3 linked regions of the Anolis sagrei genome follow. The protein of the gene in region 3 interacts with the protein of the main gene of each other region in a pairwise test. Links are inferred from orthologs where the notes say so. Each region holds a gene or a part of one and is shown on either strand. Other genes may lie near its edges.

The links. The genes of interacting proteins can lie anywhere in the genome.
Region 1: the proteins of DAZAP2 (region 3) and phospholipid scramblase 2-like interact in binary tests that used the Homo sapiens proteins (3 or more experiments, as listed by UniProt). The two-hybrid records come from large-scale screens. The link is inferred for Anolis sagrei from reciprocal best matches to the Homo sapiens genes DAZAP2 and PLSCR1.
Region 2: the proteins of DAZAP2 (region 3) and TNIP3 interact in binary tests that used the Homo sapiens proteins (3 or more experiments, as listed by UniProt). The two-hybrid records come from large-scale screens. The link is inferred for Anolis sagrei from reciprocal best matches to the Homo sapiens genes DAZAP2 and TNIP3.

Annotation. Positions count from the first base shown.
Region 1 is NC_090023.1:239,100,584-239,110,746, forward strand, and holds the start of phospholipid scramblase 2-like, read right to left. Parts: upstream 3,972-10,163; 5' UTR 3,785-3,971; intron 1-3,784. UniProt on the Homo sapiens protein: Catalyzes calcium-induced ATP-independent rapid bidirectional and non-specific movement of phospholipids (lipid scrambling or lipid flip-flop) between the inner and outer leaflet of the plasma membrane resulting in collapse of the phospholipid asymmetry which leads to phosphatidylserine externalization on the cell surface.
Region 2 is NC_090025.1:36,192,891-36,203,167, reverse strand, and holds the start of TNIP3 (TNFAIP3-interacting protein 3), read left to right. Parts: upstream 1-6,306; coding exon 6,307-6,333; intron 6,334-10,277. UniProt on the Homo sapiens protein: Binds to zinc finger protein TNFAIP3 and inhibits NF-kappa-B activation induced by tumor necrosis factor, Toll-like receptor 4 (TLR4), interleukin-1 and 12-O-tetradecanoylphorbol-13-acetate.
Region 3 is NC_090022.1:192,268,082-192,278,169, forward strand, and holds the start of DAZAP2 (DAZ-associated protein 2), read left to right. Parts: upstream 1-5,670; 5' UTR 5,671-5,853; coding exon 5,854-5,866; intron 5,867-9,940; coding exon 9,941-10,062; intron 10,063-10,088. UniProt on the Homo sapiens protein: In unstressed cells, promotes SIAH1-mediated polyubiquitination and degradation of the serine/threonine-protein kinase HIPK2, probably by acting as a loading factor that potentiates complex formation between HIPK2 and ubiquitin ligase SIAH1.

The DNA.
Region 1 (10,163 bases), on a different chromosome or scaffold from region 3:
CAGAGTATAACAACTACTTTCAAAGTGAGTTCCACACAATTAAACAGGAAATAAAACTTTCAAATGAGGAACTTTTTTTTCAAATTTGTTATATAGTTTTATTAACCCAACTTTGCATCCCTTTTCAAACCACCCTTACCCATGTGGATGATTTTGGAGCATTTCTGATTTCCAAATAAGGGTTACTCAATCTATATTTGAATTCATAAGGTGAGGGTGGGGGGACATGTAGAATAATCTTGTTCATTGTCCTTGCTCCTTAACACTTTCAAAAAGGAACACATAGAGATGTACCTGTGCAAGCTCTTCAACCACAAACTCTTTTGGGTAGAAGGACAGTCCTTGCTTTGGACAGATGAAGAATTGGCTGATAGAAGCCCAACCACCGATGGGTACATCTACCCTATTGAACTGAAGCAGCTAGACAACAGTTGAACTGTGGCTCAAGACTATGGAATCATGTGAGTTGTAATTTTACAAGGGCTGCATCTACACTGCATCATGCTACCCCTCTATTCTGCCTTCATCAGACCACACCTGGAATACTGTGTCCAATTCTGGGCAATGCAATTGAAGAAAGATGTTGACAAGCTGGAATGTGTCCAGAGAAGGGTGACTAAAATGATCAAGAGTCTGGAGAACAAGCCCCATGAGGAGTGGCTTAAAGAGCTGGCATGTTTAGCCTGCAGAAGAGAAGGCTAAGAGGGGACACGATGGCCATGTATAAATAGGGAGGAGGGAGCAAGCTTGTTTTTTGCTGCCCTGGAAACAAGGACATGGAAAAATGGCTTCAAACTACAGGAAAGGATATTCCACCTGAGCATTAGGAAGAACTTCCTAACTGTGAGAGCTGTTCAGCAGTGGAACTCTCTGCCCTGGAATGTGGTGGAGGCTCCTTCTTTGGAGGCTTTTAAACAGAGGCTGGATGGCCATCTGTCAGGGGTGCTTTGAATGCTATTTTTCTGCTTGTTGACAGGGGGTTGGACAGGATGGCTCATGAGGTCTCTTCCAACTCTATGATTCTACACTGCTGTATTAAAGCAATGACATCATTTTAGCTGCCAAGGCTCAATGCTATGACAGTCTGTAAGCTGTATTTGGGTGAGGCACCAACAAACACTCTCTGGCCAAAAAGTATTAAGACCTTGGGAGCTTCTACACTAGTATTTCACAAACTTTGGTCTTCTAGGTATTTTTGGACTTCAGCTTCCAGAATCCCTGATCACTGGCTCACAAGCGTCTTGGAGTTCTAAGTCCAAAAACACCTGGAGGTGTTTGGGAATTATTAATCTACATGAGTGGAGTCCAATCTTTGATCTTCCGGGTGTTTTGGACCTCTGCTCGCAGAATTTTTTACCATTAGGTGAGCCAGCCTGGGCCCATATAATGGTAAAAAAAATCATAGTTGGAAGAGACCTCATGGGCCATTCAGTCCAACCCCATTCTGCCAAGAAGCAGGAAAATCGCATTCAAAGCACCCCTGACAGCCATCCAGCCTCTGTTTAAAAGCCTCCAGAAAAGGAGCCTCCACCACACTTCAGGGCTGAGAGTTCCACTGCTGAACAGCTCTCACAGTCAGGAAGTTCTTAATGTTCAGGTGGAATCTCCTTTCTTGTACTTTGGAGCCATTGTTCGGTGCCTTAGTCTCCAGAGCAGCAGAAAACAAGCTTGTTTCCTTCTCCCTATGACTTCCTTCACATATTTATACATGGCCATAATGTCTCCTCTCTGCCTTATGTTCTGACGGCTAAACATGCCCAGCTCTTTAAGCCGTTCCTCATAGGGCTTGTTCTCCAGACCCTTGATTATTTTAGTTGCCCTCATCTGGACACCTTTCAGCTTGTCAACAACACCTGGAGGGCCAAAAGTTGGATGGCACTGATTGATATTGTAGTTTGACACTTTAGCTGCTCTGGTTCAACGATATGACACCCAGGGATTGGTAGTTTCACAAGCTCTGTAATTTTCTCGAGGGCTGGTGCCTCACCAAACTACAACTCTCAAGATTCCCTCACATCGTGACAGTTAAAGTGGTGCATTCATCCTACAGTGCATGCCTTGCAAAGTTACAATGCCCATACATAGCCTTGAGCTAGAGCAATTGAGCCATTCAACAAGATAGGTTCCTTCTAAGTAAATGGAGAAGTGAAAAGACTCTTGAATCATTTTAGTCACGCTCCTCTGGACACCTTTCAGCATGTCAACAACAGCTGGAGGGTCAAAGGTTGCATGGCACTGATCTATACTGTAGAATCAATGCAGTTTGACACCACTTTAGGTGACCTGGCTCGATGGTGATATCTGGGGAGTCTCAGTTTTACAAGTTCTGTAAGTTTCTCTGTTAAAGAGGGCTGGTGCTTCACCAAACTACAACTCCCAAGACTCCCTCACATTATGGCACTTAAAGTGGTGCATTCATCTTACAGTGCAGTGCATGCCTTGCAAAGCGACAACGCCCATAGATTGCCTTGAGCCAGAGCAATTGAGCCGCTTCCATTCAACAAGGTAGATGCATTCTAACTAAATGGAGAGGTGGAAAGCCCAGGTTAGGAAGTAGCCCACCGGATGGACAGAGGGAAAATGGGAAAGGGTCTCACCTGGTCGTGAATGAAGGCGGAAGCTCCTCTTGTTTTTAAAATCTAGACTAAAGCAGGGAGGGGGAAACAGGGGGGGGGGGGTTGAGAAATCGAAAGCACTCAGAGAGTTCGGTTTCTGTTTACTTTCCACACAAACACCTTTCTCCCTCTGAGAATATTGTGCTACGTAGGCATCTATGACCACAAGGTGCAACAATTACACTGTAGATTGAATACAGTTCGATACCCTGGCCCAATGCTATGGAATCCTGTGATTTGCAGTTTGGTGAGGCACTACAATTGAAGAGAGCTATTGACAAGCTGAAATGTGTCCAGAGGAGGGTGTCTAAAACGATCAAGGGTCTGGAGAACAAGCCCTATGAGGAGCGGCTTAAAGAGCTGGGCATGTTTAGCCTGCAGAAGAGAAGGCTTAGAGGAGGGTCAACAACATCTGGAGGGTCAAAGGTTGCATGGCACTGATGATGTGAGGAAGTCGTAGGGAGGATGGAGCAAGCATGTTTTCTGCTTCCCTGGAGACTAGGATGCGGAACAATGGCTTCAAACTACAGGAAAGGAGATTCCACTTAGACATTAGGAAGAACTTCCTGACTGTGAGAGCTGTTCAGCAGTGGAACTCTCTGCCCTGGAGTGTGGTGGAGGCTCCTGCTTTGGAAGCTTTTAAACAGAGGCTGGATGGGCCATGTGTCGGGAGTGCTTTGAATGAAATTTCCCTGCTTCTTGGCAGAATGGGGTTGGACTGGATGGCCCAGGAGGTCTCTTCCAACTCTATGATTCTACTAGAGGAGGCCAAAAGACTTTGCAAAACAAGTCCCAGGAGCACAGCATTCGATAAAGATCAGACATATCTGATGTATCTCCTGAATGACCACATCATGTAAACCCCAAGATTCTATAGCACTCAGCCATGGCAATTCAGGTGGTGTCAAACTGCATTAATTCAGAAGTGTAGATGCATCCATTAGCTGGCTGAACTCGTAAGGGAGGAGTGGGGGAAAAGCGTGTTTTTGGCTCTAGAGACACCTCGGCCATCAAACCCTCCGAGTGACCTTCGACAATTCTTTCAGCATTCCCCCTGTAGACAAACATTGCCAAGAAACCCCCGTTGTAGGGTCTCAGCCTTATTTTGGAAACAACAACTATGGAAAGCCTTCCCCAGAGTGGGCACCCCATCAGTTTGTAGTTATTACCTTGTTCGAATTGCTGCTCCGCTTCGTTGCTTTCCACTTCCCTCTGTTTGGCTCAAGAGGAAAGCAAAAGGAAGAGAGGGGTGGTTTACGGGAAGGGCGGATCTGGGGGTGGAGATTAGGTGAAAAAAGCCAGCCAGGAGGGACGGGGGAAGGAAGGCCAGCGAGGAAATAGGCGTCAACAGGCGACCCAAAGGAGAGAGAGAGAAGAGAGAGAGAGAGCGCCTGGGAGGCAGACAAAGCAGAGCCAGAAATGCGATTAGTCCGGCAGCGCGGAAGGAGGCATTCCGGCGTCAAGGAGATGATGTCAGGGATGGAGCCCGGCTGGAAGCACAACGCGGCCCCTAGACGTGCTGTTCCTGTTCGGATCCAAGGGCGGATGCCAACTCCAGGGTGGGAGTCTGAGGAGGCTACGCTTCCCCTACTCAGGGTTTGCAGACCTTGGGGATTATCACCCCCCCCCCTTTATTATTTTTTCACACAAACATAAAATAAACGTAGACACCAAAGTAAACAAACAAACAAACATAATAAACTAATCCAATACAAAAATGACTTTATAATATTCCCACCTTCATTCCTAGCAACTGGGACTTTGGCGCAGCTGGCTGGGCGTCAGCTTCATTAAAATCACTACTGACCAAAAGCCAGCCCAGGTCAGAGTGAGCTTCCGACCAATTTGTGTAGCTTGCTGTCGACCTTTGCAGCCCAAAAGACAGTTGTATCTGTCAAGTAGGATATTTAGGTACCGCTTATGCGGGGGAGGCTAATTTAGGACACCATAAAAATCTCTAGCAAGCATGCAAAGAATGAGGAAGTATTGGGTTGTTGTAGGTTTTTTCGGGCTATATGGCCATGGTCTAGAGCAGGGGTCCTCAAACTAAGGCCCGGGGGCCGGGTGCAGCCCTCCAAGGTCATTTACTCAGCCCTCGCACAGGGTCAACCTAAGTCTGAAATGACTTGAAAGCACACAACAACCCTAGCTCATCAGCAAAAGCAGGTCCACACTTCCCATTGAAGTACTAATAACTTCATATTTGTTAAAATTGTTATTCATGTTAATTATTGTATTGTTTAAAGTGTTTTTTACACAACCAATAAGATATGTGCAGTGTTTAAAAATAAATGAATTCATTCATGTGTGTGTGTGTGTGTGTTTGTTTGTTTTTTTTCAAATTATGATCCGGCCCTCCAACAGTTTGAAAGACTGTGACCTGGCCCTTTGTTTAAAAAGTTTGAGGACCCCTGGTCTAGAGGCATTCTCTCCTGTTGTTTCGCCTGCATCTTTGGCACGCATCCTCAGAGATAGTGAGGTCTGTTGGAACTAGGAAAAAGGGTTTCTATATTTGTGGAATGACCAGGGTGGGACAAAGGACTCTTTGAAACATTCACACCTAGCTCCAGCAGACAAGAGTCCTTTGCCCCACCCTGGTCATTCCACAAATATAGAAACCCTTTTTCCTAGTTCCAACAGACCTCACTACCACTGAGGATGCTTGCCATAGATTCAGGCGAAACGTCAGGAGAGAATGCCTCTAGACCATGGCCATATAGCCCGAAACACCTACAACAACCCAGTGATTCCAGCCATGAAAGCCTTGGACAATACAACAAGGAAGTACTTCATCAGTGTTACAAAAGGACAGTGAAGTGACAGCTTCCCTGGTGGCCAGAATACCCTCATAAAAGAGCTGGAATGTTAAATAGCCCCTGTGTGTCTGTCTATATATGTTGTGTTTCTATGACCTTGAATGTTTGCCATGTATATGTACATTGTAATCTGCTCTGTGTCCCCTGCAGGGTGAGAAGGGCGGGATATAAATACTGTAAATAAATAAATAAACTTAGGCCCCTTCCACACAGCTGCATAAAATCCACATTGAACTGGCAGTGTGGACTCAGGTAATCCAGTTCAAATCAGTGTGGATTATCTGCCTTGATATTCTGTGTTATAGGGCTGTGTGGAAGGGCACTAAAACAACTAAACTCCATCCCCCAGAGAGAGAAGGGGGGAGGGGGGAGTTTAGTTATTCTAGGGCCCATCCTCACCAGATAGATAAATAGATGGAGGTTGGTTGTTTTAGGGTCCTTCCATGCAGCCATATAAACCAGAATATCAAGGAAGATAATTCACAATATGTGCTTTGAACTGGATTATCTGAGTTCACACTGTCAAATATATATACATACACACACAGGGCTGTGTGTGTGTGTGTGTGTTAAGGGTTTTAACTACAACCCCCCCCCCCCCGCCAAACCTGGTTTACTCAAGAATTTTAACTGGTTAACCAAGTTATGAACAAACCAGGTTTCTTTTTTAACCTGACACATTTCAAGGCAGGGTTGAACTCCCTCCCTCCCCCCCCCCCCCCCTCCCCGAGCTATGGCCCTACCACTGACTTAGTAAGCATTGATTGTTGTGCGCTCCCAAGTAACAGAGATTATGGGATTTCATGGGAAAATTTGCCCAGATGAGGTTTCTGCCGAAGCTGGGGCCCCTTCCTCACAGCTGAAAAATATCCCACATTATCTGCTTTGAACTGGAATATATGGCAGTGTGGATTCAGATAACCCAGTTCAAAGCAGATATTTTGGGATTTTCAGCCTTGATATTCTGGGATATAGGGCTGTGTGGAAGGGCTCTGAGAGAGTTTGACTTGCCCAAGGTCACTGAGGGGCCCCCTAGGGCCCTTCCACACAGCCCTGTATCCCAGAGTATCATGGCAGAAAATCCCACCTTTTCTGAGTATGGACTCAGATAACCCAGTTCAAAGCAGAGAATGTGGGGGCCCTTCCACACAGATGAATAAAATCCCATATTTTCTGTTTTAAATTGGAATATGTGGCAGTGTGGACTCAGATAACACAGTTCAAAGCAGATATTGTGGGATTTTCTGCCTTGATATTCTGGGATATAGGGCTGTGTGGAAGGGACCTGAGGCTGAGAATGTGACCTGCCTAAGGTGACATGCTGGGTTTGCAAAGATGAGTGGACATTTGAACCCTGGTGTTCAGAATCCTGTAGTTCACTTTACTATGCCAGACCGGCTCCAAACATAGGTAATGTTAGGGCTAACCATTAAGCAAATGAAGCAAGGCATCAAGGTAAGGGGATACCATACAAACTTTGCATTGCCAGGTTTACCATGGGTCACCATACAGTGCAAAACTGCAAATGATGCAGCTGAACAAGATTCCACCAAAAGGGGCCTCGACAATAAAAAGACTGCAATTATAACAAGTAGGAGAAAAGCTTTTAAATATAAAGTGAAAGGATACAAAATGTATAATTATTTTACTGTAAGTTTTGTTTCATTTAATTTCATTTAAATTTAAAATTTTAGTTTACAGTTTATCATTGTTTACATTTTGAATTAGATTTATGTAGGGACATCAAAATCTTTTAAGTGCTTATGCTTCGGTCACTAAAGGTCAAATCAGTCTATTTAGTCCAGGATTCCAATCACATAGCACCCAATCAGCTGAAGTGCCCCAGAAACTCATATGCAGAGGCATGCTATCTGGTAGTGTTGGCTAAATAAGAATCCTCTTATTAGATTTTCCTTTTCCCAAAGAGTGGTATTCTCCTGACACCAGAGTGCTTTGTCTTAATGGAAACTGGCTGGACAGGAAGGCTGTGTTGCCTTGGGAAATTATAGAAATAATTTCATATATGTATGTGAAAAATATTGTGATTGATATTATGAAAGAGATGCAAATAAAAGAAGAGAGAAGCAGCACATTTTTCATATACAAATGCATATGCATGATTTATCATTAGCATGTCTTGTAGAAAGAAGTGTGTTTTGCATGTTGCTTGCTATCCAAAAACTATGTGTAAAAATGTAAAAGAATAGTCAGATGACAAAGTAGATGAGAACATCTGATTTATGCAGAGCTCATTGTGTTTGATCATATATCACTAGACTGCTGTCCTTCACATATCCTTTATCCTCTCACACACAACTTCTTCAGATCTGGCTAGGCATTCAGATAACTGGACCAGGGAACATTATTGTATAACTTCAAGTGGTTTCCAAAGCAGCTTGAATTGGTTGGATGGAGGTAATGTTTAACTACAGGTTAGGATTAGGGCATATATACTGATTTCCTCACCATGGCACTATTTGTCTTTGGTTGTGGGAGGATTGCATGCTCCTGTAAAGCAAGAAGCTATGCCGATGACAGCAGTGCTGCTAGTAGGGTCTCCTGTGTCAGATAGGCTTTTGCTAAGCAGTCAGGCTAAATGTGCGAGAGAGTTAATTGTTATCAGAAGGAGTGGGGTATGGCATTGGTGGAGGATGTCTCAGAGACAATGGAAGTGGTATCATTGCTCATACGAGGTAGTAATGCACAGAAGGAGGCACAGTAAACCCATTTTGAATGTCGTTTACCATGACAATCTTGTAATGGGACAATCCAAAATGAAACAAAAAGCCATTGACTTTACCTTGGAGGATGCAAAAAGACATTTTCTGCAGGCAAAAAGAGGCCTCACTGGATAACAGGTGAAATTCTTTTAGAGGTTATGGACACAGAAGAAGAAGCAAAAAAATGAACTGTGGTAGAAATAGTGCTAGAGTCAGCTATCTAACAACTTGTCCATCAGATTGTAATAACCAAGAACTACTATAGTAACCAATGCAGAGAAATAAAAGGTAACAAAAAATGAAGAGAAGAAACATCATCAGTATTAAAAGTGACCTTAAGTAATTAGCTTGCTGGGCCCAAATTAATTAATGTATTATTTACAGTATTTATATTCTGCTCACCCCGCAGGGCAGATTACAATGTACATATACATGGCAAACATACAATGCCATAGACACAGAACATATATAGACAGACACACAGGGGCTATTTAACATTCCAGCTTTCATGAGGGTATTCTAGCCACCAGGGGAGCTGTCACTTTTTGTGACACTGTTGAAGTACTTCCTCATTCTTTACATGCTTGCTGGAGATTTTTATGGCATCGTAAATTAACAAAATGAGTTTCAACAAGGAGAAATGTAGATACTACACTTAGGTGGTGATGAAGCAAGCGAGGTGGAGACTAGAGTGACGTTGGAGGAAAGCTCGAATTGAATCTGACTGAGCATGGGCTAGAGCAGGCATGAGCAAACTTCAGCCCTCCAAGTGTTTTGGACTTCAACTCCCACAATTCCTAACCGGCCGTTAGGAATTGTGAGAGTTGAAGTCTAAAACACCATTAAGAAGAGTGCACAGGCTTGTTTTCCGGTGCCCTGGAAACTAGGACTTAGAGCACTGGATTCAAATTCCAGAAAAGGAGATTCCACCTGAACATTAGGAATAACTTCCAAAACATAGGTAGAGGTGATTTTGTCAATTCCTTCTTCTGAATCTGGGTCAATGTTTTAACAAAATTTTCTAAATTTATACACAGTATGTACATTGCTCCTTTCTGCTATGTTAATCGACAAAATAGAAGATACCTGTTATTTTATCTTCAATTCTAATTGTGGAAAGTCTAAAAGACATCTTTGAATATTCCTGAAATCCGCCCCCCCTTTGTGCCCCATCTTTCAGAGTGCCCCCTTATGGTTTGATTTGAGCAGGCAACTATTAATAATTTTGGTTGCCTATTGCCCTGTTTATGTCTCCTACCTTTAATTATGTTTTCTCTATTAGGCCATTTAACACCTTTATTTCTAAGATACCTAATAGGCTATTCCTTTACCTTTCAGCATGTTTTTTTTATAACTTCTCTAGCAAGCCGATGCTTGTTCTGCGCTTTAACGTTTCTGACTTTCTCCCAACATCTGCTGCTTATTCACCTGAATTCCTCCTTAGTTATTTCCCCCTTTTCCCATTTCTTGTACATACTGTATCCCTTAATTCTCTCACACCAGAAGTGACTTGCAGTTTCTCAAGTTGCTCCTGACACGACAAAAAACAAACCTCAGTTGAAAATTATTTAAAAATCCATTCTGGTTCCTTTAAGTACTTCTCATTTTTCCTCCTCATAGCAACTGTTTGAAATTCCACATTCAGCACCTCACTTTTAGGAAACTCCCATCTATTATGCATCTTTTTCTCTTTTAGTATTCCAATCCTTACCATAGAATCACACATAGTATTTCCCTTGTTTACTGCAGTTAGCTTCCTTAAAGCCTACAATGCATGTTTCATTATGCTTGGCTTCCTCTTTCAGCTATATAACAAACTCTGGGTATGTAGATTACATAAGTTATAATCAAAACACACTTGATATATGAAGGAATGGGAATGCAAATGAAGCAAAGAATTCTTTTCACTTTGATTTTGGAATTTCAAGATCTTAGCAGGCACTGCTGTGCTATACCTTTTAGGAATAGAGAAAAGCTAGATATAGCTTTTTGAAGTTTAAATCAGAAAATGG
Region 2 (10,277 bases), on a different chromosome or scaffold from region 3:
GTAATGACAAGGCTCTTAATAGAACATGAAGAAAACTATACTTATGCTGTGTTTTCATATTGGAAGAACACCCTTTGGATTCTACTGTATTCAGCCTGTGTTTCTCCTAAATTAACCTGATTTACTCCCTCAGGTTAATGTGCCAATCAGAACACAATTAAGCTTTTCAAAGAATATTTCTTTGAATTTTGCAGTATGGTTCATAGTTCTAAAATGTAATTATTTTCTGATAATATACATTTGAAAATTATATATTTTATGAAAAATGTTTGGGTCTTAAATCACATATTAATTTGGAAGTGGGATGGAAAGGATTTATGAAGTTATTCTTGCCAAAAGTGATAACAAACCATAGATTTATTCCATTCATTCCTGTTTCTAAAGCAAACTATGATTGTAAATCAAAGGGGGAAAATGGGAATGCAACAAAATTTTATTTATTTATTTATTTAGGGAGTTTTCTATGCCACCTTTCTCCTGGCAGTCCCAAGGCAACTCACAACTTTAAAATATACAATGCAACATAAAACCATTGATAAAAACAATCCAAAGAGTTACATGCCGAGTATAAGCTGAGTTTTTCAGCTCTTTTTTAGTCTGAAAAGCCCCCCTTGGCTTATAACTTGAGTCAAAGTTATTTATTATTATACTCTGTATGAACCTGATAGATCTGTAGCAGGACAAGATGGAAGAAATGGAAGAGAAATGGTTGATGTGAATGGAATGTATAGAAAGTGGTGAATCCAACACTAATATTGTACAAAGACTAAGAAAATTTGTGTTCATGGTTAAAGATAAAGATGTAGAGGAAAATTTGGTAGGGGTATTGAGTGTGGTGTGGACAGGGAAAAAAAGAGGAAAAAGTGAAAAGAATTAAATGTTTCCCAGTTTTTTGTGGTGCAATTAGATGCCTCGCCTTATATTTGGGTCAGCTTATACTCGAGTATATATGATAAATGCTCCATAGCATCATCTTGTAGACAAATTAAATTAAATTAAATTAAAATCCATCTAAAATAACCATATGACAATAAAGTGCTAGGCTTAGGCTAAGGTTCAGTTAAAAGCTGTTTCAAACAGTAATGCCTTCACTCCTTTTCTAAATGACATGAGGGTGGGAGCTGATCTGATTTATTCCGGAAGCACATTCCAAAGCTTCGACATCATCCCGAAAACTGCCTTCTCTGGTGGTTTTTAACTGTAGGTTGTCACTGCACTGAGTGGAGATGAGAGTCTCCTTGCTAGACATTAAATGTGTGCCTGGTCTGTATTGTAGGACATGGTGTCTCAAGTAGTCTGGACCAAAGCTGTGTAGAGCTTTATAAGTTAACAAATCTATATAAATAAAAATGTAATGTTTGTTTGTGGGATTAACATAACTCAAAAACCACTGGACAAATTGCTGCCAAATTTGGCCACAAGACACTTACTAACCCAAGGAGTAACCATCACTAAAAAAAACATGATTTGTCATTTGAGAGTTGTAATTGCTGGGATTTATAGTTAACCTACAATCAAAGAGCATTCTGAACTCCACCGATGATGGAATTGAACCAAACGTGGCACACAGGAATCCCATGACCAACAGAAAACACTAGACAGTTTGGTGGGCATTGACCTTGAGTTTGGGAGTTGTAGTTCACCTACATCCAGAGAGCACTGCAGATTCAATTATGGATCTGGACCAAACTAGGCATGAATATTCCATATGCCCAAATATGAACACAGATGGAGTTTGGAGGAAATAGACCTTGACATTTGGGGGTTGTAGTTACTGGAATTTATAGTTCACCTATAATCAAAGAGCATGCTGAACCCCACAAACGACAGAATTGGTGCAAACTTCCCATACAGAACCCCCATGAACAACAGAAAATATTTAAGGCCATCCAGTCCAACTCCCTTCACCAGGGCAAGAAAATGTAATCAAAGCTTCCTGACAAAGAGCCATCCAGCCATAGATATTAATAGATAATATATATGATTCACACACACAGAAATATAGTATCATAGATTTGAAAGGGACCCCTAAAGAAGGACAATTATATGTTGCATGTTCCAGAGTAGGCAAACCACACAATCTCCACATCAACACTGACAAAGAAACAACACGAAATACTGTTTACCCACAAGCATAAAGAAATCACATATATAAGAAACCAACACCTTCTGATTACTTTATTTCCCAGGTCATCAGACGGTGCCACAGCAACTCGTGGCAGGGGACTTTGTAATTTCCATAACAAAGTCTGGTCAGCAGCAGTCAGTGATCTTCTATGTTGTGGAAGCAAATTATAATTTGAATCTTGGGGCCTTGCTGGCCCTGGTATTTTGGGAGTAGTAGTCCAGAAGGAACATCTCCTAGGTTCTGAACACAGGATCAGTTCCAGTAACCAGAAGGTATTTCAGAGTCATAGTAACAAAACCCCAACTAGATTATTCAGTTAAAATGGTTTTTTGTGATTAATTAATTCCACTCTTAACAGGTAAACAAAAGCTTAACTTATTTAACTGATGAAATCTATTTTATATGTACCTCTATCCCTAGTATCAAAGTAAACATACTGTCAACTATCCTGATCTGGCAGTGCCACTCCACATTAATCTTCTGTATTTCATTTTTTTCAACTACTTTAAAATGTCACATTTTCTTTCTCCTTCTCCTCCTTTTTTCTTTTGTTCTAGGTTTACTTCAGTTGCAGGAGAAGCTTGCATTGAGTTAATTCTACAGCAGGCAGCAGAGAAGAATGCTGCCCATTCCAGTTCACTCAGGCAAAAGCGAACAATGTATAAGTCACTCTGGTACTCTGAAGTATAAGTCCCCCCTCTCACTGTGTATAAAATATATATTGCTGGTGCAACCTCTCCTATCTTGGTGTTATTTTTTATTAATCTTTTTTTTTTGCCATCTTGACCACACACTAGAGTTGCTTGGTCATATCTCTCCTGGCTTTCAGGTGTAAAGTTGGAGGTGCGGAGTAACATTTATTTAAAGATCAGTCTTGTAATCCTGAGAAGTCAGTACCAATACAGTTGGACTTTCCCTCTAATAAATGTGTGCTTAGGAGTTCAGTCTAAAAGATGTACTGATATTTCTGACTACAAAAAAGCCACAGGCATTTAACTCTTCTATCCCTTCCTATTACAGCACTTTCCAAGCTGGACAAACAAAATCTGATTGATATGCAGGAAAACAAGACAGAAGAAATGAAAGAGAAATGGTTGATCTACATAGAATGGATAGAAAGTAGACAAACAGAATCTGATTGGTGTGTAGGAGGACAAGATGGAAGAAATGGAAGAGAAATGGTTGATGTGCATGGAATGTATAGAAAGTGAGGAAGCCAACACCAATATTGTACAAAGACTAAGAAAATTGTGTTTATGGTTAAAGATAAAAAAATAAAGAGGAAAACGTGGTAGGGATATGGGGTGTGTGGTGGACAGGGAAAAAAAGAGGAAAAAAGTGAAAAGAATTATAACATTCTAAAGAGATGAATAGATAATATAGAAATGCTCCATTATAATGTATATATGCAGTAACCATCTATTATTTATTAGTCTTGTGCATTTGTATAGAATCCCGATCCGTTTCTGTTTGTTTCATTCATAAGCCCCCCATTTGCCTTTTTGAATGGGCATTTTCATTTCGTATCCAAAAAAAAGAAAGAAAGAAAGAAAGAAAGAAAAATTTTGACCCATTGGCCACTATGGGCAAGCTTCCCCAGTCTCCCCTTTCCCTCAGTTTTAGGGCTAGTCACACATGGAGGGCACATCTACCACTTTTATCCCAGGTTTTATAATGTTTGGGTCATCTCTCAATTTTTTAGGATTTTTCTTTCTTTCTAGAAATAAAATCTCCTTAAATTTCCTTAAAAACATTCCCCACCCTCTAACTTCTCCAGGAGCAGCAGCAGGAGGGAGGCAGGGCAGGGCAGGCCACCATTCCTTCCTGCCAAACATCAAAGATGCTCCACATACCACACACACAGCCCAGTGCCCAGCCCCACTATTTCATTTTTTCTTTTATCTGGATGCAATTGGGCGGCGGCGGTGGGGGGGGGGGGAGATTCCCCTCCTCTTCCCATCATTTTTGGCAATGGCGTGATTTGTCCTTATGATCTTTCATTATGACCTGGAATTGACAACTTGGAAGTCACTGAACAGACTCAGAAGTAGAGTGGGCAGATCAAAAGACAACCTGGCAAAATGGCACGACCTAAAAGAATTCTCCAACTTGTGAGGCTGTGGAGCAGAACAGACAACTCAGCATCTGTATGCTTGTCTGCAATGTCCTGCCTCATGTACAGATGAAGAATTGTTTGAGGCAATGTGGTTGCTGTTGTCCATTTTGGTCAAAAGATATTTATCCATTTGTGCTCCCTCTATTTTTATCAGTTTTATACTAATTTATGAAATGCTTTTGATACAAAATAAAAACATCAGAGTTACTTAAGATACAGTACCACTGCAGAAGAGAGCTGGGTTTAAAGACAAGACTTAAGATACTACTATTGCTGTGGTGCTTTCCCCTCGGTCTGCATAAGAGAACTGGTTTAAACACAGGGCTTAAGATACCACTATTTCTGTGCTAATCTTAAAGTAAAACTAGCAACCGATTCTTCTGCACAATCTTGCTAAATTACAAGGGAGGTAAGTGGCTGAAAACCACAGATATGTACAACTTCCCTCGCCCTTTGACTAATCCTTCCTCTGAGCAAACTTGAACATTTGCTCTGTTGGAAGACATGGGGATTTCCTTGATAAAAGCTGAACGCAGCAGCATTGACGCAGACTGAGGCCATTCTTCAAGTACAACAAGTGGTGGAGGGGCTTTTAGTGATGGCTCTAAATAAAACATTTAAATATCAGGGCTTTGCGGGCCATTTCTGTGTAATAAACATGCATTTGTGTTCATCCTGTGTCAATTTTAAACTGCTGTGATCCACATATTAAGACAAGTTTGCTTGCCAACACTTGTACAATCCTTGAATGCTATGAATCTCCACTACTATTACTTGTTGCTACTTTTGGAAGCACATGCTTCCTGGCCACAGCTTAGAGGGCATCATCTATGATGGTGAGAAAGTGTTCAACATCCAAAGTGGCATTGCAAGAATATCTTTCCCACAATCGTTGCAGTGTTACAGTATCTATCAGGTTTTTTATCAGGTTGTGTAGGCATAGTTGCATACTGGTGTAGTGGTAATGCTAGATATGGCACACTATGAAATATTTGCAAGCCATCATGTCATCTAAACTCAGGTTGCCATATTCCAGCACTTCAAATTGGGGCCATCCATTTGAATGCAATGTAAAATTCTGCTAATTATGTACCTCTCAGCAAATCTAGCTCACAAAATTGTTGTGGAGATTATTTGTTGGAGAAGAACCATGTGAAGTATATTCACAGGGGCAGCTCAACCCATTACGCAAAGTAAGCATTTGCAGTATAGTTGATTTTGCCCAGGGGCGCTCTTGAGATGCTCTTGGGGGAAAATAGACCTTGACATATGCGAGTTGTAGTTACTGGGATTTATAGTTCACCTACAATCAAAGAGCATTCTGAACTCCACCAATGATGGAATTCAACCAAATATGGCACACAGAACTCTCACGACGAACAGAAAATATATATCAATGATTGGTTGGGGGGCGGGGGTGGTGCCAAAATACAGTTTGCTTACTGTTGAAAATTACCTAGGGCTGCCTCTGTATATTCATAATGTGAAAAATACCAACCATGTTTTGTCATGGACAGACACTTGTAATGGACTGTATTGTCCATTATTTTTGTATTTTTGTTTTTCCCTTCAGTTTTCTTACTGATGCCCAAAAGTCATGGATGCATGAACATATCAGAAGACTTCACAACTTCAGAGGATGCCTGCCATAGATGCAGGTGAAACGTCAGGAGAGAATGCTTCCAGAACATGGCCTTACATTCCGAAAAACCCTCAACAACCCAGTTATTCTGGCCATGAAATCCTTCGACAATACATATCAGAATAAGTTCCTAAATGTGGGTCATGCTGCCCCACAGGCCATCTCTTGCATCTTGCGATCACTTGCTGCACCTTCTGCCTTCCCTTCTGCCATCTCCATCATCTTCTCTTCTTTGCAACCACAACTCAAAGTCTCTTTTTTCCCTTTCCACTTCATCTGGGCAGGAGATGGATTGGGCCCATGTCACTGCTGTTGTGCCCTCCAGAGGATCAGATGAGCTCTGTATGAATTTCTGGTCAATGCAGGCACTACCTGCTTGCATCAGCAAAGGTGCCTGCATAACCAGAAAGAAGGACAGGGATGAAGGACAGCAACATGAATGGTAAGGTGATGGTCCAGCAGGGCTGATGCAATCTCTGGACTCGGACCAGACTGGTTCTGCTACAGACTGGTTCTGGATTAACTGGCCAGTGTAGATGAGGCTTGAACAGCATTTCTTTATTCACATTTTCTAAAGAAACCAACCATCAACTAAAATGTATTTAATTAGCAGTTAGCCCTAATAGTCTTGGGAAGACAACTAGACTGTTCCATTTCCTGTTCCAGCTGTTAACTCTCTTCTAAGATCAGATGTGCAAACAGATGTGTCTGGGATGGCGTAAGATTCTATCCTGACAGAGAATGCCATATATGCAACATATAATGTTAATGAGCTTAAACAATTATTTTACAGTTTTATAAGCGATGGAATGCCTGCTATATCCTTTTTAATACCCCAGACACTTGTAAATGTGGAACTCTCGTGGTGTCCAAAGCATGACGAAGACCCTCTTTAAAATAAATGATAGCAAAATAATTCATTTTAACACTTCCCTTCCACCTTGCTTTGACTGTGTTTGTTTTTCCTGCCTGTTCCCCGGTGTCTAAGTACTCAGTTGCTTCATAATTTTATGAGTACATATCCAAGCATAACATCTCTTTATCCAACAGAAATCAGAGCCTCAGATCAAAAATTATTCAGTGTTTATACTCTTCTCAAGTAAAAACAAGAAATCAGCCTCAGCCTTTCCTAATATAAATACAAAGAATGAAATATTTTGATCATTAAAGGAGAAAGAGGGAGAAATAAATGTAACATTTACTCTGATTTTAGACACAGGTGGGTTAAAACACCAAGTGGATCCCACTGGATTAATATGGATTGTGACTAAATCCCCTTGCATTAGAAGGACATAAAGAGAATCCAGCAAAGTACATTTATGCAATTTTTAAAAAATTCTCCTGAGTTTTTCAATGCTTTAATTTTTTTTAAAGTTTGTATTTGTCTTCTTTTATACAGATACAGTAGATAGCTAGATAACAATGCTATAACACTATGGTAGTTTTATCATTAATTTCTAGATTTCCAATAAAATTTTCCTACTTCAGTTTTATTTTATAGGTTTCGTTTAAAAAAAATTAAAAAGTTTGCATGCTGTTTTTAAGCTTGGAAGTAATTTATTTATCATATTTTTTTATTTGTCATATTAGAAGCGAACTGAGGGTACAGTTGTGATAATTTTAAAAAACACAAAGTTTAAAAAACTTAGCATTATACTACATTTCTTTTGACCAGTAGCCGGCTATTTTGAGTGCTTCTGGTGTTGCTATAAGAAGGTCCTCCATTGTGCATGTGGCAGGGCTTAGACTGAATTGTAGTAGGTGGTCTGTGGTTTGCTCTTCTCCACACTCGCATGTCGTGGACTCCACTTTATGGAGTAGTTTTTTAATTTATGTGCTTAGTTGTGTTTGCTCATTACTTTTTCCTATTACTTTCTCATTACTTGGGGCTTTTCACCATTTTAATGCTTTTAGACAGATTTTCCTTAAAAATATCAATGGTAAATAATAAGCATTGTATCAACTAGAATGATAAACTGCCAAGAGATCAAGATTAGCAGTAGTAAACTCTTTGTTGTTGTTGTTACCTGTCTTCAAGTTGACTTTGACTTATGGCAACCCTATGAATGAAAGACTTCTCTTATCTTCAATAGATCTGCTTAGATTTCCTTGACTAGGAATGGATCTACACTGCCATATAATGCAGTTTCAGAATGCAGATTAACTACATTGAAACTGATTATATGGCAGTATAGACTCATACAATCCACTTCAATGCAATTAATCTGCATTCTGAAACCACATTATATGGAAGTGTAAATCCAGCTTTAGTCAAACCTTCTGGAATATATGGTCTCCTCTTTTCCTACTTCTATCTAAAAAGGTAAAGTTTTTTCCCTGACATTAAGTCCAGTCGTATCTGACTCTGGGGTGCAGTGCTCATCTCCATTTCTAAGCTGAAGAGTCAGCATTGTCCGTAGACATCTCCAAGATCATGTGGCCGGCATGACTGCATGGAGCGCCATTACCTTCCTGCTGGAGCGATACTTCTATCTACCTTACCATTATTGTTTTTTTTTTTAAAAAAAATAGAGTAATGTATTTTCATTACAACAGCTTCCGTTAAGTCATCTTGACTTCTAGGGAGGTTTCAGGCTTGATTTGCTCTAGGATCCATTTATTTGTATTTCTAGGTGCAAATATTACTTCAGACGCAGACTGCAGCCAGGAAATCAGAAGACGTTTACTTCTTGGGAGGAGAGGAATGAACAATCTTGATAAAATAGTGAACAGACACCACACTGGCAACGAAGATTTGCATAGTTAAAACAATGGTATTCTTGGTAGTAACCTATGAATGTGCAAGCTGGACCATAAGGAAGGCTAAGCAAAGGAAGATAGATGTTTTTGAACTGTGGTATTGGAGGAAAATTCTGAGAGTGCCTTGGACCGCGAGAAGATCAAACCAGTCCATACTCCAGGAAATAATGCCTGGCTGCTCACTTGAGGGAAGGATATTAGAGGCAAAGTACTTTGGCCACATAATGAGAAGACAGGAAAGTTTGGATAAGATGCTAGGGGAAAATGAAATGACTGGCTTGACCTTGAAGGAGCTGGAAGTGTCCATGGCCAACAGGGAGCTTTGATGTGGGCTGGTCCATGAGGTCATGAAGAGTCAGAAGCAACTGAACGAATAAACAACAAACCAATTATTAGTCTTTTCAAAACTAGTTATGCAATCATCAACTCTCCTGTAATTTATATCTTTTTATGCTATGATTTTAGCTCTATTTTGTGAATTGCCCTAGATATCCACTGAGAGATGAGGCAGAAATAATACATTTAAAATACATTTTGCTAACCAGACTAGTACTAATGGGAAAGATCCTGTGAACATTTCCTCTTTCAGGATCCCTGTAGGATGTTGATATGGATGTGAGGGAAAATGAAATTAGTACACCCATGTTATTATGACATTCAGTTACTGCTCCTTCTAACTGATATCTTCTATAGATATTTGAGAGTCACCAGAAGTAGGATCAGCTATCCTAAAACTAGAGATTCACCTTTTTAAAAAAGTAGTCCTTTGACATGTGTTGAATACTGGTTTGAGGTGACTTTGTAATGATTTTATGGGATGGTAGGTGCTTCTCTTCATGGCCAGGGAGCTTCAGACTCAAACCTCATGTGATAATGCCCTTAGTCTACTTCACGAGTTACATCTGAATAGTGCTTGTTAAAAATAAATGCAAACTCCCCACCCAGTTTAACTATGAAAATCTTCTGCAAAGGCTTACATCCAAACGTTTCCTGTTCAAATTGTTAAATGGCTTGGAAACGTTTTAAATTTCTTTAAAAGGAAGATAGAGGACATCTTGTGTTGATTGCTTATGCTGAGAAATGGGGAACAGGTCATATCCTTTTTCCTGAATAATGAATCTCTTGATAGATAGATTTCAAGTGTACAGACACACACATACACAAATGTGTTTGGAGTTCTTTTAACACTCCCAAAGAGAAATCTTGTAAACTAACTAATGTTAAAAAATTGGTCTGTAGATGTGTATTGGGAGGTTTTAGTTCAAGTTCTAAACAATAACAAATGTCTGTGTCATTTTACAATTTTCCACTCTTCCTTTTTTTTTGTACGTTAAATACATTGGCAGTTAAAAGCACAATCCAATACATGTCTACTTAGGAGTAAATCTACTGAGCTTAATGAGATTTACTCTAACAAGAGGGTATAGGATTGCAGCCTGGCCATTTACAAGTCACTGGGGGATCATGTGTTGTAAGCTGTTGTCTTCGAATTATATTAAATTTTCTCTAGCTCATTTCCTTATTATTCCCCAATGGAAATCCCTAAACAAGTAAATCCTTAGTGGACAATAAACCAATTTGGATGGCAGGAATCCAGTTTTTCATTTGCCTTCCTACGTTGCTTGGTTATA
Region 3 (10,088 bases):
TGGCTGCAGTCTGCATCTGCAGTAATTTTTGCACCTAGAAATACAAAGTCTGTCATGACCTATAAAACACTAAATGGTTTGGGATCGCCTATCTCCGTGATCGCATCTCCCTCTATGAACCGGCACGGAGTTTTAGATCTTCCAGGGAGGCCTTTTGCTTGCTCCCACCACTGTCTCAATTGCAGTTGGTAGGGACGAGGGAGAGGGCCTTCACAGTGGTGGTCCCCCACCTTTGGAACATCCTCCCCAGACAGCGAAGACAAAAAGGACTTGGAGACCTGGTGGTTCTGGCAGGCTTTTGTTAATGATTAGCCCCAGGTCTTACCCTGGCCAAGAGTTTAGGTCCTCGCTCTGCACTCTACCCACTTTCCTGGCCCTCTGCTACCTCATTGCCGTTGACCTGGCCTAGCTCTATTATAGGTCTGAGCAAACAGAATGGTCAGCATCAGAACTTGGAAAAACTCAGTACAGCCACCTTGTGGAAAGCAGTAGCCAAGCACCACAGCAAAAAAAGAATTCAGTGTTTGAAGATCTGAAATCTTGAAAGGGATTGGCGGGATTAAAGATTTGATTCTAGGTCCTGGAACATGGAAAACTGTGATAAGCCTCTTGAAAGGCAATTTTTACAAGAACGTAACCACCATGACGATAATTTCTGTCTAAATCTGGCTGCAACAAGAGGAAAAAAAAGGCAGCCAGGGGCAGCAGCGATCACCACTCCCTCTTTCCGCTATGATAACATCCAAGAGGGTAGGCTTTAAAATAACTAACATAACCTAAAGCCGATGCCAAAATAACTAACAAAGCATTAGTTCAATGCTAATGAGCAGAGCTCTTTGACTGGTGTAAGTTTAACAGCCTCAAGGCTTAATTAAACTTAAAATATATTTGCAGGGTCTCTGTTCTTTCCATTGATCTCTTATGCATGAATTTGGACGCTCGCTTGTTTCTTTTCCAAAGCACAGCTCCTCAGCAGAGAAATGTAATGCCTGAGAGGCTAATGATAGTTCCCCAACTCATTTTTATCTCCCAAGAGAACTGTTGTTCGTCTCGGTGAAACCAAAATTAAATGGCCATTTCCTTAATGTTGTCAGAGAAGGGGATTGGCTCCATTACATGGACCAGCGGGTATTAAGCAGTATATGGAAATGTAGTCCTAGAGTGCATTTAGACTGTAGTCTGATAGCACTCAAACTGCTATGACTCAATGGTATGAAATCCTAGGAGTTGTAATTTAGTGAGACACCAGTATTATTTGGCAGGCAGGACTAAAAATCCTTTAAAACTGCTACACCTATAGCACTGAGTCATAGCAGTAAAAGTGAGGTAAACTGCATTCATTCTACAATGTAGATGCTGCCTTTAAAAGAACTTTTGGCCCATGGCCACATTTAGCTGATGGATAACTACTGGTTGATATTCTACAGACCAACATGGAGTTGGATCTGGGAAATCAACCCCATATCAGACATGTAGCTCTTGGGCAGATCACCTCTGCTTCATAGGGTTGCTAGAAGGATGAAACACAGCACAGAGATCTAAGAATTCAATATCAAGAATTTGAAAAAGTCAGTTTGATAACCCTTACCAGATGCTTCATAGGTGGCACAAGGAGAGTCAATATATAATCAAACACTCGTTTCATTTAAAGCCTTGAATTAGGAATAGTGGTTCCTTAGCACCCTATGCAGCTTATCCTTTCAGATTTTTGTGTCTGTCCAATTCTCCAATATTTCAACTTCAGAATGTGGAGTTGTGATTGCTCTATAGTACTGTGTCTTAAATTATCAGTTTCAACCCCAAATGGCTCAACACAAAAATATAACAAGAGAAAAAGGTTTCTGAACACCACCCGTTTACATAAATCTCTTCGCAACAATATGCAGTGTTTACAGTTGACTCTGCAGAAAATGCTTCTGCTGTATCCATAAAAAGGAAAATCAGCCTGTTTAGCAAGCCTTACAAATGCTGATTTGCTATCAGTAAATGTTCGATATTTATATCTGTTATGTTTTATCTACCTATATACCCACAGTCACACAAAAAGTGGTCACAAGTTATAATGAGAGTTGTAGTTTAATGAGGCACCTGCATTCTTTGGCAGATCAGTCCAAACATCATATAAAACCATGACTCCCACAATTCCACAGCATTGGGATATGGCAGTTAATGTGGTATTGAACTACCTTAATTCTAAAGTTTAGATGCACCCTAGGATAAATATGTAGGATCACACCAAAAGAAAAATTTTGAAAAACACATTTTGTAAACCACATTTTACAGTTGCCATTTCCGTTGTATGCTTTGCATTTTAGACTGCATCATTTGGGTTGTATGCGTGTTTGTTCCTACTCCTATTTACATAAAATACATAAATATGTAAAACTACAAACCTATGCAAAATAGGTGTTGACTCCACTGTTATTACTGCATCAAAGTGAGCCCAGACAGCACACCTGGCTGGAAACACTTTCCTAGAAGAAAAACAGCCAAAATGAAACATTCCTTTCATCAAACCAACAAAACGAAAGGTAATAGCATCACACTGTTCAATAGAAGAGTAAGTAAAAGAGATAAAAAAGAAAAAGAAAAAAAAAGGGGGGGGGGGGAATCAAAGCATTACAGTATTGGCATTATTTGTTTTTACCAACAGTTTAAATATTTCTTTCTCAAATCAAAATTTCTGTCTTGACTTTTCTTAAGACTATAAGAATAGGAATCATAGATTAAAACATAGTGTGTGTGGGGGGGGGGGGGGGGGGGAGTTGTACTGTACAATGTGAAGTCCTCATGACATATTGTCATTCTGTTGGGAGAACCATCCAAGATAGATCCACCCTCTGATGCCAAAGGTGCATCTACACTGTAAAAATTGATGCAGTTTGACACTACTTCAACTGCCATGTCTCAGTGCTGAATATCAAGCAAAAAGTGGGTGCTAGAAATAATATCATACGAAAGCTGACTGGCACAACCTGGGGATCACCACCAGACACAGTGGTAGAAGAAGATAAACACGCACTGGCAGATAAACTATGCTGCTGAGTACGCATGCCCAGTGTGGAACACATCTCACCATGCAAAAACAGTGGATGTGGCTCTTAATGAGACATGCCACATTATCACAGGATATCTACACCCCACACCACTGGATAAATTATACTGTTTAGCCAGTATTGCACCACTTGACATCCGCCGAGAAGTAGCAGCCAATAATGAAAGGACCAAGGCAGTGACATATTCGACCCATGCTCTGTTTGGATATCACACAGCACACCAATGCTTTAAATCAAGAAATGTTTTCTAAGATCTACAGAGATACTCACAGGAACACCTCAGCAAGTGAGAGTCCAAAAGTGGCAGGCTAAAACCTGAAACCTCAACTCATTGCTGATACCAAATGGGAGACTCCCCCCCCCCCCCCGGGCACACAGAAAAATGGGTGACTTGGAAAGCACTGAACAGACTGCGCTCTGGCACCACGAGATGCAGAGCCAACCTTAAGAAATGGGGCCACACAGTGGAGCCCATGACATGCAAGTGTGGAGAAGAGCAAACCACAGACCACTGATCACAATGCAGCCTGAGCCCTGCCACATGCTCAATAGAGGACCTCCTTATAGCAACACCAGAGGCATTCCAGAGGCATTCCAAGTGGCCAGCTCCTGGTCAAAGGACATTTAATATTTGCCAAGTTTTAAAACTTTGTGTGTGTGTTTTTTAAAATACATTACAGTTGTACCCTTGGTTTGCTTCTGATATGATAAATAAATAGTGCTATTGAATCTTGGGAGTTGTAGTTTTACAATGTCATTGGCACTCTCTGCCAAAGAATGCCGGTGTAATGGTAAAAAAATGCAAGGATAACACCGAGTCTTCTAAAGTGGAAAAAAAACCACAGGATTTTATTTATAGCTTAAAAGAAAACAGCAGCAAACAGTGCTAAAAACAATGCGATATAGGATTTAACACTTTAAAAAGACATTTTACAACCCATTCCAAAGCGTATTTACTCGAGGCCAATGGATTTTGCAGTGGGTCTTATGATGTAATTTGATGAAGCACACTCTTCAGCAGAGAAGGCTGCAAGTGTTATAGAAGTGGGTTGTTGTAGGTTTTTTCGGGCTATAGGGCCATGTTCTAGAGGCATTTTTCCCTGACATTTCGCCTGCATCTATGGCAAGCATCCTCAGAGGTAGTGAGGTCTATTGGAACTAGGAAAGTGGGTTTATATATCTGTGGAAAGACCCGGTGGGGCAAAGAACTCTTGTCTGTTGGAGCTAGGTGTGAATGTTTCAACTGACCATCTTGATTAGCATTTGATGGCCTGGCAGTGGCTGGGGAAATCTTTTGTTGAGAGGTGATTAGGTGTGCCTGATTGTTTCCCATCTGTCATAGAAGTCTCCAAAATAGCAGAGTATTTAACAATGCAAAACGGGATACTTAACTGAGCAGTTAGCTCACAGCAATCAGAAGGTGCAGTGTTGTGGCTGTAAAAGAATTCTTGAGCTATGGAGGCAAAGATGCAAAGTTCAGTCCCTAAACTTGGGCCCTCCTGGTGTTTTGGACTTCAACTCCTACAATTCCTAAAAGCCTCAGGACCTCCCCCCCCCCCCCCCTTATCTGCTTAATTTGAGGCTGTTTGGAATTGTGGGAGTTTAAGTCCAAAATACCAGGAGGGCCCAAGTTTGCCCAGGCCTGGCCTAGCCTAATGCTATCTAGTTGCTTCTCATTGCCGATCCATCTCAGAGCCCAATTCAAAGTGCTGGTCTTGACCTATAAAGCTCTATACGGTTCTGGCCCAGTTTACTTGTCCGAACGCATCCACCCCTACGTCCCACCTCGTAATCCGAACGCATCCACCCCTATGTCCCACCTCGTGATCTAAGATCATCCGGGGAGGCCCTGCTCTCGCTCCCGTCACCAGTGCAAATGCGTCTGGCAGGGATGAGAGACAGGGCCTTCTCGGCTGTGGCCCCCCACCTATGGAACACACTCCCAAATGAGGTAAGATCCGCTCCCTCCCTCCTGGCTTTTAGAAAAAAAAATTAAAATCATGGTTTTGGGACCAGGCCTTCGGGCAGCAGAAGTAAATGTATGCAGCATTTCAGGAAGACAATGACTGGAATGGCGATTTGACGAACAAGACTGTTTATTGTTTTAATGATTGTTTTATTGCTTATGGATGTATGGTTTTAATTTGATTTATGTTTTGTAGTGTATAATTGTAATTGTTTGTACTGGCATTGAATTTTGCCATTACTTATGTGTAAATCGCTTTGAGTCCCCCTCGGGGTGAGAAAGGCGGTATACAAATACTGTAAACAAACAAACAAACAAATAAATAAATTGAGGACTGCAGACTTGAGCAGTGTGTGGTTGAATTCAAACAGAAAGACCTTGTAAAATTATAACTCCCACGCTCCCATGGTAGTTCAAAGTGGCACCAAGGTGCATTCATTCTGCAAGGTTGGGACGTCGGCCAAGCCATGGCAATTGGGAATGAGGGCTTGCACAAGAGTGGCGGCCTCCCACCCAAGCGAGAGCCAGCGCCGACCCTGCTTAGCTTTCGAGGCGCCTGTGCGTCCCTCAGCGCCGGAGGCCACGCCCCCTACCTGACCACGCCCCCTGACCCTGCCGGCCACTCTCGGCGTCCCATTCCCCTCAGCGGCGTCGCGGCGTGACGTCAGACGTCTCGACGTAACCCCTCTCCTCAGGGCTGCAGCGACAACAACAAGGAAGTGATTGAGCGAGGAGAGCCGTCCCTGCCGCCGCCGCCGAAAGCAGGAGTTGCCGGAACCGTCGCCGTGCCAGCCCGCCTTTTCCCTCCGCGCCTTTCTCGACGCCGCCACCATGAACAGCAAAGGTAAGCCAGGCAGGCCCCTTGCCCTTCCAACCCCACCCAGTCCCCGCTCACCTTTCGCAAGGGCGCTGTCCCTTTAAGGCTGGCGCCGCAGTCCCGTTATCTGCGGGCCTTGGACGTAACGGGCGGGAGCCCTGGCCAATGAGAGGCCTCGGGAAGCCGGGGTGAGGGGGTGGGGGGAAGGGCGGGTGTTCGGTTGCTATGACGCAACGCCTCTGCTCAGGACAGTTAACCCTTCCAGTGTGAGGGCCTTCCTGGCCTCGCTTCCTGGGGATCCCGAGGCACCGTCACGACTCAGGGGGTTGACTGAAGGCAGAGCGGATGCCTGCCCTCATTCTACAATTCAAGTCCGCCTGAAAGCTTTGGATGTGGATGAAGGGAGGAGGACTGAGGTTGGGGCCTTGAAAAGGGAAGAGGAGGATCCCGAAACTGCCTCTGTTCCCACCAAATGTAGATGGAGCTCAGTAGGGGCTTGTATTTCAGAGGAAGGAACGGGCAAAATCACCTCTTTAGTATCCCTTGCCTCAGGAAACACTATGACATAAACAGGGATTGCCATAAGACAGTGGTTTTCAACCTGGGGTCCCCAGATGTTTTTGGCCTACAACTCCCAGAAATCCTAACAGCTGGTAAACTAGCTGGGATTTCTGGGAGTTGTGGGCCAAAAACATCTGGGGACCCCAGGTTGAAAACCACTGCCATAAGACAACAGGCAAGGCGCTTGAAGGCACACAAACGCATAGGAAATAAAGCAAAACATAATAGCCTGCAAGGCCTCAGCCATAGGAAAAATGGAGAATGGGGGTTATGATCACAAAACTATCCTGTCCAGACTTATATCAGAAAATCCCAAATCTGTAATGATTTAGGCCAGTGGTTCTCAACCTGTGGGTCCCCAGATGCTTTGGCCTTCAGGTCCCAGAAATTGCAACAGCTGGTAAACTGGCTGGGATTTCCCCAAGTGTTGTGGCCTACAACTCTCAGAAACCCCAGCCAGTTTACCAGCTGTTAGGATTTCTGGGAGCTGAAGGCGAAAACACCTGGGGACCCACAGGTTGAGAACTCTTGATTTAGGCTCCTTCTACACTGCCGTCTGTTATCCAGATTATCTGCTTTGGACTGGATTATATGGCAGTGTAGACTCATATAGTCCAGTTCAAGGCAGATAATATGTATTCTCTGATTTAAGAATCTGGATTATATGGCAGTGTAGAAGGACCCTTACTCTACCAAGCAATCCCCTATCCCAGCGTTTCTCAACCTGGGGGTCGGGACCCTGGGGGGGGTTGTCAGAGGGGTCACCGAAGACCATCAGAAAACACAGTATTTTCTGTTGATCATGGGGGTTCTGTGTGGGAAGTTTGGCCCATTTCTATCGTCTGTGGGGTTCAGAATGCTTTTTGATTGTAGGTGAACAATAAATCCCAGCAAGCACAACTCCTAAATGTCAAGGTCTATTTTCCCTAAATCCACCAGTGTTCACATTTGGGCATATTGAGTATTCATGCCAAGTTTGGTCCAGATCCATTATTGTTTGAGTCAATAGTGCTATCTGGATGTTGGTGAACTACAACTCAAGGTCCATGCCCACCAAACCCTTCCAGTATTTTCTGTTGGTCATGGGAGTTCTGTGTACCAAGTTTGGTTCAATTCAATCATTGGTGGAGTTCAGAATGCTCTTTGATTGTAGCTCAACTAAAATTCCCAGAAACTACAACTCCCAAATGACAAAATCAGTCCCTGCCCCTCAAGCCCACCATTATTCAAATTTGGGTGTATCGGGTATTTGTGCCAAATTTGGTGCAGTGAATGTAGATATATCCTGCATATTAGATGTTTATGTGACGATTCATAACAGTAGCAAAATGACAGTTATGAAGTAGCAACGAAAATAATTTTATGGTTGGGGGTCACCACCACATGAGGAACTGTATTAAGGGGTCGTGGCATTAGGAAGGTTGAGAACCACCTACCTATTGTAATTTTGACTCATAGTTAAGAAACATATGAAGCAACAGGAAGTGAGAGAAATTTACCCCCAGGAAGGGAAATTCACTACAGGGGGAAAAGGTGTCCCCACTAAAGTTTTATCGCTGATCCTTGTTTCCACCACAACCCTATATTTTCAAAATCCAATTGACAGGGGTAGAAAATTAGGTGAAATCTTCCAAACAAGGGCACAGACAGCAAAACAAATCTTTCAGGAGTGTTAACCTTTATGCAAACCAAAACATATATATGCATGTATTTCTTTAAGTGGCTGGAGTTACAGTTTAAAAATGCACCTGTTCCTACTTAAAGACTAATTCAACTTACAAACTTACAGAACCTATATTGTCTGCAACTTGGGGACTGCCTGAATGTGATTCTAACCTATATGACATCACAAATCCAAAGAGATGGAACCTATGTGATAATGGGTGTTGTAGACTATATCCTGCCACTGAATGCCTAAACCAGGGGTCCTCAAACTTTTTAAACAGAGGGCCAGGTCACAGTCCCTCAAACTGTTGGAGGGACGGATTATAATTTGAAAAAAAATATGAATAAATTCCTATGCACACTGCACATATCTTATTTGTAGTGCAAAAACCACTTAAAAATACAATAATTAAAATGAAGAACAGTTTTAACACATATAAATTTATTAGTATTTCAATGGGAAGTGAGGCCCTGCTTTTGGCTGATGTGATAGGGATGTTGTTGTGTGCTTTCAAGTTGTTACAGACTTAGGTTGACCCTGAGTGAGGGCCAGGTAAATGACCTTGGAGGGCCGCATCTGGCCACCGGGCCTTAGTTTGAGGTTCCCTGGCCTAAACAATCAGTCTTACTATCACAAGAATATATCTGTCTGCTTTTGAAAAATCCACAAAAAATCTTGCTGCATTTGTACATCCCTATACTTTAAAGTTTAAAATACTATAGACAAAAAGGGGTCTCTCAAAATGACTTAGGTTACTGATAGTCTCTTGTAAAGCAGATAGCATGCATTGTCACAACCAGCCCTACACAGCAAAAATGCCTTTTAAGTCGCCCCTTAGAAGGTAATAAATGGGCTGCCTCATGTGATTTCATTTCAACAGCCACTGATATGCTTTCTTGTTTTTGTACCTCCCATAAGGAATTTGTTTCAATGTTGAGTTGACCTTCTCTAGCTAGGGAGCTGCTTAAACATAAGATTATTTCATCCTCTTTAAAATACACTATCAGCCTGATTGTTTGAACTCCATATCTAAACAAATTGTTTGAACTGCTCTAAATACTTTCTGAGCAGACGTCTTATCAATAGGAGGGTAGTGTAGCGTTTACTACTGAATTTAAACATAGCTTGCTATAAGGTGGATCTACACTGTAGAATTAATGGTTTGACACCACTTTAAATACCATGACGAAGTGTTATGGAATCATGGGAGTTGTAGTTTTATAAGGCCTTTAGCCTTCTTTGCCACAAAGTGCTGGTGCCCACCATACTATATATCCCATGTCCAATAGTATTGAGCCATGGCAAACTGCATTAATTCTACAATGTAGATGTACCCATAGTTGAGGCACAGGGAAGAGAGTTAATTAGGCCGCTATCCTGTATATATGTTCATCAAGTGATAAATCCCACTGAATTATAACTTACCTCTGGGAGGGATATATTGGATTGTGCTGTTAGATTTCGGTTGTTTTGCATGCTTCACTTTGAAATTAGCAGGTTAATGGAAGAAAAATAGATTTGGTATCTGACCATAGTAACAAGCAATTATTTTCTTTCTGACTTATTTATATTCCCCACGAGATGGCACTCTCCAGTTTTTAAAAAGTAACTATTGACTATCTTTGTTCTTAATGAGAGAACAGGTTTGAATGACATTGATTAAATCTCATTTCTTTTGAGTTTCAAATAGTTTCCGGCAGGTACTGAAAAGCAGATGTTTGTGGAATTTGGACCCTCCTCAAATTAGAGAGCCCTTTTCTTGAATATCTGTATTTGTTCAAGAAAAACTCCCAAAGGAGGGAGTTTCCCTGATCTCAACACTTCCTGTTTCTTCCCAGCAACTGTGCTAACACTGATTAACTTCCTTCTTTTAGGTCAATATCCTACCCAGCCTTCCTACCCAGTTCAACCTCCTGGTAATCCATCGGTGTTTCCACAGACCATACCTCTTCCTCAAGCTCCTCCTTACACTGAAGCTCCTCCTGCTTATTCAGAAGTATGTAATCTATAATCCATCCAATA